2 linked regions of the Lonchura striata genome follow. The protein of the gene in region 2 interacts with the protein of the main gene of each other region in a pairwise test. Links are inferred from orthologs where the notes say so. Each region holds a gene or a part of one and is shown on either strand. Other genes may lie near its edges.

Region 1 (7,758 bases), on a different chromosome or scaffold from region 2:
ATCCCTGCTGGGCACAGACAGGAGGGTGCAGAAGCTGTGCCAGGCTCAAGGAGCAAAGCTCAGCTCTGCAATCTCTGCCCAAGAGGGTGACACCCTGCCATGCTCTGGTTTTTGGTCTGTGTGTACCACACCCTTGTTCCATAGGGCAGGGCAAGCATGTGTGGCCTGAGGAGATGAGATACGTCCCCAGGCTATTCTCAGCCACGGCCCACACTGGTTAGTGGTGAGCTGAGACAGGCTCTGCACCAGGCTTGACTCCTGTGTGGGGAAACCAACCTGGTGAGGAGTGCCCAACACAGCTGCAGCCTGGGGCTCTGTGCTGTTGGCGTCACTGCAGCAAAGTCACTCCATCACTCCCCTTCACCAGCAGTGAAAATGTGCTTCCTTCTGCCCCTGCTGCTGTGGAAGCTGTTCCCTCACCTGCTGTGCTGTGGGAGCCAGACCAGAGTGCATGGATAGCCCTGGCTCCCCCACTTACTGTAAAGAACGAAGCAGGAAGCTCTCAAAAAAAATTTATTATCCACAAGTAGCAAACCCATCCTGCCAGTGGAGGCCTGGCTGAACCTGTGAAGGAGGTGGGAGCCCAGGGGCTGCTCTGGCTCCACAGCCACAGTGCTGCAGCCCCCTGCCCCCCTCAGCTGTTACGTCTGCAGGAACTGGGGCTGCACCCGGGCCACCTTACGGAACTCCTTGGTGTGTGTCCGTGGGCACTGCATCTCACACCAGCTGATGGGCACCATCTGCACCCCTGGGCACGTAATGTCAGACTTGCTCTTTCCCAAAGTTGCATTCCTCCATATGGAGAGGGAGGCAGCTGCATCAGCTGCCCCCAAGGCAGGAATGAGGCAGAACTGTTTCAGCCCAGTCCCTGTCTCTGTCCCTGTCCTGCCCTTACCTGCCTCGCTGCGTGCCACCACCACACCCAGCTCGTTCTCTGCTGTGCTCAGCAGGTAGTTGGACTGTGCATCCCCCAGGGAGATCTGGTTGGACAGGGGTTAAGGGACACACTTCCACAAGGGAGCTTGAGCCAACACGGTGTCCCTGAGGAGGAAGGATACAACTTTGGCCAGGACGATGTCACTGGGGCGGAAGCTCTTGTACACTTCTACCTGCACAGGAGAGAGCAGGCAATGCCACACAGCGCCAGGGTGCTGTCAGTGGGGGGACAGGGCCCCCACAAGCAGGAACTGGAGGGCAATGGGTGTACAACAGCAACTGGCAGTGGCTCACTGACCTTATCCTTCTCTGTGGCTCGGATATCTTCTCTCCTGAAAAAGGAGATGGAGGGATCTGAGTGCCAATGAGCAAAGACAACTCAACCGCCTGTGGCAGAAGCTGCCTCAGCCTTCCTGGGTGCTCACCAGGACGCGCTGGACACCAGCCCAGTGCTCAGGGCAGAGTTCCAGCTCAGGGCAGCCAGCTGCACTGCCCACAACAGCCTTCCTCCCCCTGAAGGGTGGGGAATCCTAACCTTTTCCCTACCGTATGGTGCCCCGGAAGGTGGATTTCAGCGGCGTGGAGCCAACATACAGGATGTGGACCTTGGCAAAGCGAGAGTTAATACTGCAGACCTGCATGTAGGAAAAGGGGAATCAGTGGTCCAGGCAGGGAAAGGGCAGGGAGCAGGCAGGGCTGCATGGGGAGCTCAGGTCTCACTTGGCCTCCTCCTCCCCGCTGTGACCAAGCAACGGTGGGACACCTGGCAGCAAGCCAGGTGAGGATGATTATATTTGTGCAATTCGAGGCACCAGAATAAGGCTGAGACCTGCAGTGATCTCAGTCCCTCTCCCTCCACTAGGAATGTAAGGAAACTAATCCCTGGTCCATGTCATCCTTTCTACAAGCTGCTTGAGGCACTGACCTGCATACTCCCTGTCCCAGGAAGGAGTTATGGAAGGAGAGCAAAGAAAATCCTCCCCTCAAGCCCACCTCAGTCTCAGGGCAGGTGTCCCTCATGCCAATACCCACTTGGTGAGTGAGAAACTCAAGGGAGCCCCTGGGCTGCCCCTGCCCTGGTGGGAGTTGTACAGAAGGCACTAAGAAGCCCAGGGACTCCTCACTCCACCCTATCCGTGTGCAGGAACAAAGCTCAGTATGAGACAGAGTCGAGGCCCATGCAGTTTGTCAACGCAGTGCTCCAGCGCCCCACCTTGCATGTCACCACAGCCCCCACGTTGGGCAGGAGCTGGGACTTGCTGTCTCTCACCACCGACACCACGGGCAGCTGCAGGGCAAGACACGAGCGTCAGCACAGGGCACAGCTTGTGCACAGAACCACCGGCCGAACCCCATCGGAGTCCAACTCCCTGCCGCAGCCCAGTCTCCAGAGAGGCCGTGCAGCCTGGGTGCACAGCACGCAGCCCCGGGGAGGAGCAGCCGTGCCGCGGCCGCGCTCACCTCGTTGTCCTCGTTCTTCCTCTCCAGGCAGCCAGCCAGCGAAGAGAAGATGAAGCCATGGCGAGTGTAGGTCCCGCTGCCAGCCGTGGCCTCCTCCGTGCTGCACAGCCGCTCACCTGCGACACAGCGGCTCAGGGGCTGCCGGGGACCGGCCCGCTCCGGCACAGCTCCCGCTCCCAGCCGGCCGAGTGCGGCGCATCCCCGGGACAAGCCCCTCCGCACTGCCTCGTCCCTACTCCTCTCCTAGCCCACTGCGCTCCCTTTCCGGGCGGTAGCATCCCCAGTCCCGGGAGCCCGGACAGCGCCGGGCCGCACTCACCGGGGACGCAGTACCGCGCGGGCGGCGCCATGCCCGCGGCCGACAACGCTTCACCAGCAAGCCCTCATCCTATTGGTTCTGGACGTCAATTCTGCGCTGTAAGCGTCGCGGCTATTGGTTCTCGCCTAGCCGACCTGAGGCATGCTGGGGGCTGTAGTCCGGCGGCGGCAGACGGAGCTCCCGGCGTGCCGCGCGCGGGCGCTGCCCGTGGGCCGGCGGGGCCCGGGCATGGCGGCGGCGGGCGCGGGCCCAGGTCGGCGGCGCCGGGGCCTTGCGAGGGGCTGCGGGCTTGTCGGGGCTGCGGCTGCCGCGGGGCTGGGCGGCGATACAGAGGGGCTGCGGGGCGAGGAGCGCGGGGGCCGGGAGGCGATGGGGATGCTGCGTGTGCTGTGCGGCCGGAGCCGGGAAGCGGTGCGGTCTGTGGCTGGGGGCAGCGGGGGGATGCTGCGGGCTGTGACGGGGCTGGAGGCGGTGCGGCTGCCGGCGTGGGCAGCCTTTGAGGATGGGGCTAAACACCGGGATGTCCTGGCTCTGGACAGAGAAGTGGGGCTGGATGCTGCTGAAGCGGGGGAGCGGGCGCTGTGCAGCCACCGGAGGGTGCCACAGGGCTGCGCCGGGGGGCCTGGACCTGGCGGGGGAAGGCCTCGCCTTTGCCCGGGGTGGGGCCAAATCCGAGGATCCCCACCCCTCGGTGTGATGTTGCCAGTGCTCCTGTCTGTGCTGGTTGCTGTCCCGTTCCCATGGGCTCGGTGCCGCGCCGTGAGCAGGGCGAGGGGTGGATCCCAGGGCCCGGCTGGGCAGGAGAAAGTTGCGTGGCTCTGCTGGAGCCTCGTGTCTGTGCTTACGCTGCTGTCTTCAGGCAGGTGCCTGGGGACAGCGGGTCTTGCTCTGGAGCGGGCTCCTGCCTCCCCTGTGGGTTCCCTGCCCAGCAGCTGCCGCTGCTGTAGGTGAGGAAGTTTCTCTGTGGGACAGGAAAGTGCTGTGTCTTTGGAGGAAAGGGTTGACCTCAACAGCTGCTTCTGGCTGCTGTGATTTGTCTTTTACCACACTGACAAAACGGGGACGTGTGCCATCCAAAGGCTGAACGGCAGGAAGTTGTTGCTCTATTTTGCACCTGCTGAGCTTCAAGGAAAAGCTCTTGGCATACAAAAGGGGAAATGTGGAGAAGAGGGTGATGCAGATGTTTGCATATCCCACCTCTGCCATACCAGGGCAGGAGCCATGTCTGTGACCTGGAATGGGCTGCTGGGTGTGGGGTCCTCATGTCCAGTAGATCCCAACTTTGGGGTCAACCCCACACTCCTCAGGCCCAGGGTGGAGGAGAGCCCTGGCTTCTTTGGGCAGCCCATGTGGATGGTGCAGTTTCTGCCCTCACCCTCCCTGCTGCTCCCCAGGGGCTGTGTTGGTGGGCACCTCAGCGCAGTGGGACGATCCCTGCTGGAGGCACCCTGAGCTCTGGCACCGGTGCCTGGCACCAGACCAAGGCAAGTGCTTGGCCCAAGCTCAGAACGTGCCTTGGCAGGACCCCGGGGCAGCCTCGCTGCTTAATATTGATGGGTATTGCCTGCACAGAGGCCTGGGGGCCCCAGCCCTGCAGATCGTTTTCCCATGTGCTGGGCCAGATCAGGTTCCTCGTCACTCCCAGCAAAGCTCTCAGGCAGGACAAGGGGCTCAGCGGGCAGGGGAGCACTGGCCCGGGGCTGTCCCTGGGCCTCTCATTTGCTAGTGTGTGGTACTGTTCAATGATTCAGGCAAGGAGAAAGAGGAAATGTTGGGACTCTTGGAGTGAGGCTGTGAGGTTGGGAAGGTGGCCTCTACCAGCTTGGTCCAGAAGTTGAGGTGAAGGGAAGTAGCATCCTTCACTTTAAGGAGGGGCTAGGGGAGGAGGGGTAATCCTGTACTGTCTCCTCCACATTTTCCTTGTGTGGATTCCCCTGTTCATGAACATGTTGGGAAGGGCTGAAATCATCTCTGGAAATGGCCCAGCATCCTGGATGTTCATGCCTTCTCTGGTTTCCTCTGAGTCAGACTCTCCGTGTCGCTCCCCCGGCCCCCTCCCCGCTGGGAAAGACGAGATGGGACCAGAGAGCACCTGAGCCCAGATGCTGAGGGGCCTGTGCCCCCTGCTCCGTGCAAAGAGACATCCCGGCGACAGCGGCCCCGCAGCCTGCAGGAGCCTGGGCTCAGCTTCTCCAGCTCGGCATCCTTGTCGGTTCAGGGAGCTGCACTACCGGCATCAGCACGGCCGGGAGGGGAAGCCCTTCCCGAGGCACAGCCAGGCAGCAGGGTGCCCTGCCCACGCCGAGCTCCTGTCCCCCCAGGCGTGGTGTGGCGGGGATGAGGAGCCGGCAGCGGATGTTCGCCGCGGTGATGCGCCTGCTCCTCAAGTGCCTGCGGCTGGGGCGGCGGCGGCGGTTCAAGCTGGTGCGGCAGGTGGAGCAGCTGTGGCACTACGGGCACCTCTGCCTCCGCTCCCTGCTCTACAACTCCTTCACCAATGGCGACGTGGTGCTTGACTCCCTCTTCGAGCCGGTCTACTGGCTGGTGGACCACGTCACCCGATGGTTTGGTGTGGTGAGTTCCCCTCATGGGGCAGGGTACACGTGGTGCTGGGGCAGCGGGCTCAGGGCTGCCTGTCCTTCGGGCAGGAAGTGAGCTGCAGCCTTAGTGTGCGGTTCAGATTGGTTTCCTCTGGCTCTGTCCTGCCCGTGCCTCTTCCCAGGCAGCAAGGGGCAGGCTCTGCCCACTCCAGTGATATCTCTGTCGAGGCAGGATGGGAATGAATAGACTTGACTCAGAAGGCTGCTGAGAGTAAAACTCCGATTTATTCAAAATACGCTGCTCTTTTATACAGAGCTTCGCAATGATCAAATCCATTGGTTCTGAAGTGAAAACAACCTACAGCATTGGTGCAAAGTGCTTGATGCACAGTGATAGAACTATAAACAGTGTGAAAAACAAGAGAGATAAAGGATTATTTACATTCTTTCCCAGGCTTTTTGCCTGGCCAGAAACTCTCAGTTTCTTTCTTTGACTGAATCTGAGACCCACACAGTGACCCAGGTCCCTTTTCTGTAGGTGTTTGTGGCACTGGTGATTGGGCTGACGAGCTCTATTGTGGCCATCGTGTACATCTGTCTGCTGCCCCTCATCCTGCAGACCTACACACCTGCCTGGATATGCTGGCACCTCGCCTATGGACACTGGAACCTCATCATGATTGTCTTCCACTACTACATGGCTATCACCACTTCACCTGGGCACCCACCACAGGTGAGGCACCAAGTGAGCTATGGATGGTCACTGGGAACAGCCTGATAATGTTGTTGCAGGATGCCTCTAATCTGGGAAGCTAGGCTGGGCAGTGCAGAGTGGGGAGGCAGCGGGGTGGCACAGAGGAGAGCAGGAGTTTGAGATGCAGGGTTTAAGATGTGCAAATCTCTTCTGACCTGTGCACAGGCCAAGAACGACCTCACTGGCGTGTCCATCTGCAGAAAATGCATTGCCCCTAAGCCAGCTCGCACCCATCACTGCAGCATCTGCAACAGGTAGGGCACCTTCCCTCTGCCCAGGGCAGCCTTTGGAACCCTGTTCCTCACCCCCTGCCCCAGTGTGAGACAGGGGCCCTTCTCCTCTGCGCTGCCACCTCCTTGCCCTGTCGCTTGTAGCCTGCAGGGCTGGGGGGTGCCTGTCCCCTCCCAAACACACCACTTGCACTGGCTCTGACACTGGCACTGGTCTCTTCTCTCCCAGGTGTGTGCTGAAGATGGACCACCACTGCCGTATCCTTCTGCAGTACTAACCAGTGGCACACTCCTGGGGGGAGCCAGCATTGCTTCTCCCTTCTCTCCCAGTCCCTTCTGTTGAGGAGACAGCCAGCATAGGAATGGGTGTTGGGAGCAGGGCGCAGAAGAACTGCCCTGGTCCCTGGGTTGGGTTTGGACCCATGGTCTGTCACAGTTATGTACCTTTAACCCCAGAGGCAGCCTGGCTAAACAACTGTGTGGGACACTACAACCACCGCTACTTCTTCTCCTTCTGCTTTTTCATGACCATGGGCTGCATTTACTGCAGCATCAGCGGCTGGGAGATGTTCCGGGATGCCTACGCAGCCATTGAGGTGAGCAGCCTCTCCTGCCATGCGCCAAGACTGCCTGGCTTCCCCAGGCTGAACTTGCAGAGCAAGGCTGGGCCAGGCCCAGCCATATAGTGACTTTGCTTTCCCTCTTCCTCCTCCTGCAAGGCCCCCAGCTGCTATGGTCCTAGGGGGGTGCGAGGGGAAGGGCCCCTGTCCCACTCCTCTGAGACACATAACTGGTGCCCTGTTTTCCATCCCCCTAGAGAATGAAACTGCTTGAGAAGGAGAGACTGCAGGTGGCTGCCAACCAGGTGGGACATCCCTGCCCCCCAGCTTCTCCAGGCAGTGTGGAGCAGAGCTGCCGTGCAGGCTGGGTCCTGCTTGGGGCTCTGTTCTCAAGGAGCACCCTACATCGGAACCAGCCCCTGTGTTCATCTCACATGTCAGAGAGCTGGGGCTGGTCAGGCAGCTCTGCTATGGACAATGCCTCCAGCAGCTTGGGGTCTGCCTCTCTGCACCCAGCTTCCAGGGGCTTGGGTTGGTGACAGCTTCTTGGCATGTGCTGCTCAGGCCATGGTCTCCTGGTGAATCTGCAGCACTGCATACACATCTCTCCATGACCCCCAGCTGCAGTGTCCTGACCAGGCCCATGGCTGCTCCCTGCCCCCTTACCTCCAGCCCCCTGTTCCTCACACCTATGCCAGCTCTGATTGTCTGTCTGTGTCTCATGGCTGTCCCAGGTTGCCTCCCCCTCACTGTGGTTGTTGCATTAGTTCCAGCTGCAATCCTTTCTTGCTGTCCAAGCTCTGCAGCACAGAGTGGCGCAGAAATCCTTGTCTGGCTTCAAGTTGTAAAGAAGTTTGGGTAATCCTCCCCATCTGGTCTTTTTTCAGACATACTACCAGACCCCACCACCCACCTTCTCCTTCCGCCAGAGAGCTTTCCACAAGAGCGTGGTCTACCT
Region 2 (6,854 bases):
TCTGAGTCCTGGGGCCTTTGGCATCTGCCTCAGACTGAGGTGCTTGTCAGCTGGAAAGCCCAAGCATGGCAGGCTGCCTCCCCTAGGTCAGCCCTTCCCAGAGCTCTACAATCTGGCCCAGTCCAGTCAGGACTTCAGGCCTGGCTTCAATCACAGAGGTCAAAACTAGCTGGGATCAGGGTCTCTTGGGTTTCCATCTCTGTTCTCAGATATTGAAACCAGGTTAACATGACTCTCTCTTACCATGTACCTCCTTGGTTGTTTCAGCCAGGATGTTCAGTGAAACCGGAGCTGGGATGTAATGAATCCCTGTCAGAAAACCTGGTGGGATGAACTGATGCAGAGGAGTGTAGTATCCTTGAGAGAAATCTCCAGCTCCATCTGGAACCTGTGGAAACACATGAAGCAGATCACTTTGTATCTAAAGACTCTCTCCAGCATACATCTGCATTATCAGACCATTTCTGGGTTTTTGTCCATATGCTGCCAAGTCAGTGCACATATTGACACATGGAAAGCCTGTGCTGCAACTGAGGAGCAAGAACTTCTCAGACCATATCAGAGGAAAACTGACCCTTTTAAGTCCTTGTCACCTGTTCTAGCAACTCATTGGAGTAGTTGGTTTAAACCAGGAGCAGCCATCTTCTTTCTCAGTAGCCCCTAAAACGTGTCAGGGAATTTCAATACAAGCATCTATTGGGTTTTTTTGTTTGTTTTGTTTGTTTGTTTGTTTGTTTTGTTTATTGTCTTGATTTTTTTCTACCTTAGCATCAACTGATGAACTGTACTGAAAGCAGGTCAGATTATTAACATCATCATTTGCCAATGTATCAATGGTATCAAAATAGTATGAAGTAACTGATAAGGGAAATGACTCTTCATGGTTACTTCAACAGAGAGAAGGCAGCTAAAATAAAGCAGTATTAGCACAGGTAATTAAAAGCATGCTACTCACTGATACAGTGGTTGCATTCCCTGGCACATAGCTGCTAGGAATGTGTCGGAATCCTCTCTGAAGTGATATCCCTGGAGGTGATGGTGCTTCCCCACTGCTTGACTCATTGATGGCAAATCCCAGGGGAAATGGGTGGTAAGGATATACCCCAGAACATCCCGGGTACACTTTTGGGATTTCTCTCTCCAGGTATTCTGGGTTGACAGTGTATTCTGGAGGAAAAGCAGGCTGAGCTAGGAAACAGTGAGAAAAGAACAAATAAAATTATCCATGTTATTTTATGGAGTTATGTAGAAGTAGCTACAGGAAAAAATTGCACTCTCAGACAGGAGAATCTGGTCCTTTGGTTTCATGTTTAGCTCCCCATGAATTGATTTTGTGATTTTTTTAATGAACTAAGGAAAGGTACAGCAGATGACACTGTAATGCAGTTATTCTGCATTATTTTCTGCGTTGTGTGCTTTGAAGTTTGTCCTTAGTAAAGCACTGGCTGCAGAATCTTATTCTTTCAGTACATCAACAGGAGCAAAACAGCCTACCTAAACTTTTGATTCTAGTGGTACTTAAAATTCCACAGAAATAGCCGAGTTCTAACTTTATAGCATTCTAATATCGCAGTCCTATCTGTCACTTCTTAGGTTAATTTACAGCACGCACAGTTTTAGGCTCATACACAAACAAATCTGAAGCAGAAATCAGTTACTTCACTTTTTTTCTTGAATCTTATTTTTATTACAAAACAAAGCTAAAAAGGGTAACAGTATTCTCTTAGGACTACGGATGTCCAAAGTAAGTCTTCTCAGGACAAACATTTTGTCTTGCAGTCTGGCAACTCTCCAGAGTCTCAGATTCATGACTACTGCCATCAGTAAGAATTTCTGCAACATTCTTATAGTAATAGAATGGAGTTACTATAATAAATTAGAAAAGTCACAATAAAGACTCTAAAGGAAGCCATTTAAGAGATGACAGACCATACAACTGCATGCCCTGCTATTAAATACCAAATGCACTTTTACATCAAGTTATCCCAACCAAATTTAGTTTTTGTTACAGGTATGAATTAAGGCAAAAAGGTCTTTTTCTTCTACAGTGCTAGCATGAAATTCTTGCTACAGACAGCTGCAGCAGTTACTGTACCTATTTACATGCCATCACTGAGCTTTTTAGCATTTTTGCTGCTGTAATTTTGTGCCTGTGAGTTTATAAACACTGTGACAGCACTCAAAGAAACAAGCAGAGCAGATCCAGTTTTGCTGCACTCCCAGATCAATCTCCCTCTCAGTGAAAAGCCACTTTGCTTAAGCTTCGAGCTCGCAAGGGGCGGCGAGGCTGAGCACGTTGTTCCCGCCCTGCGCCCCGCGCGAAGCCATCGGGGGCGGACGAGGCTGCAGAACCGACATGCCAGCCCCGTGCCCTCCGGGGAGGGAAAGCGGGACAGAATGCAGGAGCGGCTCCCGGGCAGCCGGAGCCTGAGGAATCAGCGAAATGCACAAGTGGCGCCTTTGACAGGGGAAAGCGAACAGCGGGAGATGCTGGGAAAAGGCTCTGGGGACAGGTCCTTACCGTCCTCCCTGAAGGCAGATGGCGGTGGCCCCCAGCATGCCGTGCCCTTGCCGCCGCTGTCGGGCTGGGCGCCCGTCTTCCTCTCGTGGCTGCAGTGCTCGGGGGCCCCGTCCTCTCGGGCAGCCGCCCCACGGCCCTCGCCCGACGGAACGGGCTTCGCGCCCGCCCTGACCGCCGGCTCCGTCTCCTGCTGCCTCAGCGCCTTCTGGGCTGCCATAATCTTCTGCCGCTCGGTGATGAGCGAGCACTTCTCGCACAGGCACAGCTTCCAGGGACAGTGCCCGGCGTGGCCCTTGACGGGCACCACGAAGCCGTGGTTGCGGCAGCGGGAGCACTTGGGTGCCCGCAGCGCCTTCGCCTTGTCCTCGGCCGCCTCCATGGCACCGCAGCGACTGCCCAGACCCCCCGCCAGGCCCTCCCCGCCCTCTGGCTTTATATGGGACAGGGGATGTAACAAGCGGGCCCGGCGGGCAGGAGGGCCCATGGCAGCGGGTGGGGAGCGCGCCGGGTCCCGCAGCCTCCCTGCCCTGCGCCTGGCACGGCTCCCCCGGGCACCCCCGCGGCCCTTTGGTGCGGGCGGCAGCCGAAGCCCAGCCGCGGGGGGCTGAGCCTGCGGGAGCTGCGGGGGGCACGTTGCTCTGCGCTGCTGCCCGCCGGGGTGGGGGGTTTGGATGGACCCGCTGTGCACGGATAGAAATGCCATGTCCCTACAGTAGTGCCCTAAAAGATAATTTTCCTTTTTGGCACTTTAACATCTGCACCCACTTTCATACCTCTCATGCATTCGGTTTTAATATGCATGGGACTGCTGTCCCGTTTTGTTTCCAATTTGCAGCATGCTTCTCTTGATGAGGAGGAGTGACTGCCTCAGCAGAAAAAGAACACTTTGATCATTCTGTTTTCCAAAAGAAGCTACTAAGACAAAGGTAGAAAGCATATGTCATTCCAACGACCTGTCTCCTTTTCTCAGAATTCCTTATTCTCTGGAAACAAAGACAGGCTTACAGTTAGAAATACAGGAATGCTCCAGTTCTAGTATTGCTTTGAAAGCACTTGATATTTGTTACTGCTGGTAGCTGCAAACCCGTGATTTACACAATAGCCCATTTCAGGAGAAAACTCCTCATTTTGCAACGTAAGGCACTACACTGCTAAATTTTCTTACCTATACAACAGCTGTTTTAAAATCTTAAGGTGGCTATAGCTTCTATGTTAAAGAGAACACGATAAAAATTAATCACCAAGTAGTAGACACTCTTTCTACTAAGTTTCAAGAGAGCCAGGCAGAATCTATCTGCTTGCTCTGGAACAATTCTAACTGCAATGGAGTTTGTTTCACAAACCTGGCAGAAGCCCTTCCCTTGGTGCAAAGAATCCCGGATAGCCTTGGTGCACCCTTCAACACCTTGGGGGGTGAGGCCCCAGCAGAGCAGGCCCCTTAGGGATTTGGCAACAGTGTGGTTTGTCAACAAGTCTCTTTTTTGCAGTAAGCAGCCAGCCCCTGTGCCCACCAAAGCTCAGACGAGATTCCAGGCTTCTCACTTTGCAGAAGACCCAGTAAGACTTTGCACCTAAGTCCTGCAGGTTTCCAGTAGGATTTTGCCAAGGCCTTGATCTTCCCGTACTCCTTCTAAACACGGACTCTATTACATATAGACAGATAAAATATTCTTAATTTTATGCTCCATATTTTTACTGTATGCTTGGGTTGTGCTAATTTAGCTGTAGAATGAAAGAGGATGGATGACACATTTTAAAAAGCTGTAATTATATCTTTTCATAGATACCCAATCTGTGTTCATTTGGATACTTGAGCAGAGGGGGAGAAAGGTAGGCTACATGTATTTTCCCCAGTAATTTTCTGTTCTGAGTCACATAATACTATTCTTCAAGACATTTACTCAAATACACAGTAATGTATCCCTTCTCTTTCTAAAATGGCTTACCAGCCATGGGCTGTTCCAGTTTCTTCACTAATTAAACAATTGCTTTCAAAGTCATGTGGATTTTCATTTTGAACAACTTTCATCTAAACACTCAAGATTTATTATAGTCTCCATATAGTTTGTTTCAAACATAACTACACTTGCTTTTTGCAGAAAAGTGAACATTTTGCTTTGCTTGTGAGGCAAATCCTTGTTTTTGCAGGCAGTTCAGAGAATTCTGTTACTCCAATCCTGTTATGTTTTTGTATATATATTTGAGTTAGCTTAATCACACTGTAAGAAGACCATAGCAGAGAGAAGATAGAACAATTTCTAAATACACTTTTGGAATGAAGTGTAGATTTGTGTTTGGATGCAGCTTCATGTCTATTATAATTTTCTTACTTGTTCATATTTGAAAGAAAATGAGGCCCAATAAAGACTCTTCAAAACTTAGTTTTCTCTTGCATTTTATGTAACATATGGTGGGAGCAGAACATAAAATGTGTAAAGAATTGTGTATTAAAGTAACATTTATAAGAATTATTATCATGCCAACATGAAAGGAAGGCAACTTGCTGACTTTATGTTATTGAAACAAATAGCAATAATATCTCTAGTCCTGTCCAACTTCTGAATCATATAAAGTGTGTGGTTTTGGTGTGCAGTTTGCTTTGTACATGGAACAGTGAGGAAAAGCAATGACTTAGCTAAAAGGGAACAAATCAAAAGACTGTCATAAAAGTGAATAGCAGGAAATTAGGGTTTATTTTTTTTCCCCTCCTTCTCAGACTTTCCAGCTAATATTCATACAATAAATGTTTTTTGGCAAGAAAATTTTTCTGTGGCAAGAAAATTGTTCTGGCATTTCAAGCAACAGAAACTTAATCAAGAAATTTGTTCAGTCTGAGATCTCCATTAATAAATATTTCCACACTTGGTTTGAAGTACATTTTCTTATACATAAAAAATCAAGACTATCTTTCAAATTTTTAAGACATCACATATGAAGGTTAAATCCTCTATTCAAAAATTACCTTTTTATCATTGTAGTTTTGAAGTATCCATTATGGACTGTCATAAGTTATGATATAAAAATTGATATAGTAGTACTACTACCAGGTCTTCTCCATTATAACTGTGTAGTTTACAACTCAGCTAGGGCATAATCGACATGTGGAGATACAGCTGCAGAGGCAGAACTGCCCATGAAGAACTCTCACCTTCACCTGTCCCAGAATATCATTTTAAGAAGTAACATATTTAGCATCCTCATAGTTAGAAGCTCCTTGTAAAAAAATATGAAAGAGTTTCAGACATGCTCTGGCTGACCTGCAGTACCAAATCCCCTCTCACTGCTGTGCTCACAGCAGCACACATCCATCAGGGCTGCCACAGAGCTGCAGGGCTCAGCTCCCTGCTGACAAGCCCACGAGGTTGGCTGAGCCTGCCCAAAACAAGCCTACATGACAATGAATAAACTTCTTCCAGGCACTTCTGTACACTGTATTTTCAACTTTTCTAATCAGAGTGAAATTGTACTGTAGTAAACTTTGTTTTTTTTTTTAATGTGAGGGAAAGTGCAGCATAGAAACAGTGCAATATAATTATATCCTAGCTACCTTAAAATTTGAAATGGATGAAATGTGTTTGGATTAAACCTTTTTTAAATCTGGTTGCAGTTAAGTTCTCTAAATTGAAATACACAGATTTTACTTTTCAATTCTATTTCAGCATCAATTCCTTTATTTTAAAATGTTGTCTTCTGTAGTGCAAGAAGGAGTTCCACTGAGGTGTGTGGGGTTTTATTGTTGTTTTATTTGAAACAGTTTTAACCAGAGCACAATTAGATGTTGACTTTCATCTGCTGTATCAAAAAGGTGAAATTCTCTGCTGTGATCAGAGAAAATTGGATGGAGTTTATACATATTTTAAAGTCTTAAAAATGTATCAAAGTTATATAAGCACTTCTGGTTTCTTTAACAAACACAACTAAAATGAATCTTGAGTACTTAAAATTGAGTATCTTTTTTACATATAACAGTTCTTAAATATTAACAGCAGAGACTTTATTAGAAACACTGCTGTTAGTTTATTGTAACAAGATCTTTATTTAAGAGAAAAGAAAAAATTGATTAAACTGGTAATTCTGTGATCTGGATATTTCATGAGTTCCAGAAGGGTGGGGTGGACTTGGAGAGAAATGAACACCAGCAAGGAAACCAAACACGTAGCAGCTCTTATGAGAGCTCTTATATGAGAGGCATCAATATGCCTTTCATATAAGCAAGAAATAAAATGCATTAAGGGGAAAAGAGTGAGACAGACATAAGTACACACACACACACAAACACAAACACAGGGATGCTTTTCTCAAATAAGTGATAATGTTTAAAGATCCCTATCTA

Evidence for each region.
Region 1: the proteins of DMRTB1 (region 2) and EXOSC1 interact in a two-hybrid assay, tested with the Homo sapiens proteins (2 studies listed by BioGRID). The link is inferred for Lonchura striata from reciprocal best matches to the Homo sapiens genes DMRTB1 and EXOSC1.

Annotation. Positions count from the first base shown.
Region 1 is NC_134609.1:18,916,312-18,924,069, reverse strand, and holds EXOSC1 (exosome complex component CSL4), read right to left. Parts: upstream 2,773-7,758; 5' UTR 2,748-2,772; coding exon 2,717-2,747; intron 2,514-2,716; coding exon 2,398-2,513; intron 2,225-2,397; coding exon 2,150-2,224; intron 1,572-2,149; coding exon 1,483-1,571; intron 1,269-1,482; coding exon 1,235-1,268; intron 1,110-1,234; coding exon 1,059-1,109; intron 981-1,058; coding exon 896-980; intron 793-895; coding exon 635-792; 3' UTR 501-634; downstream 1-500. Other genes in the region: palmitoyltransferase ZDHHC16, read left to right, coding at 5,054-5,290, 5,795-5,989, 6,176-6,264, 6,470-6,498, 6,703-6,836, 7,058-7,105, 7,688-7,758. UniProt on the Homo sapiens protein: Non-catalytic component of the RNA exosome complex which has 3'->5' exoribonuclease activity and participates in a multitude of cellular RNA processing and degradation events.
Region 2 is NC_134611.1:9,254,839-9,261,692, forward strand, and holds the start of DMRTB1 (doublesex- and mab-3-related transcription factor B1), read right to left. Parts: upstream 3,006-6,854; coding exon 2,522-3,005; intron 1,189-2,521; coding exon 956-1,188; intron 389-955; coding exon 244-388; intron 1-243.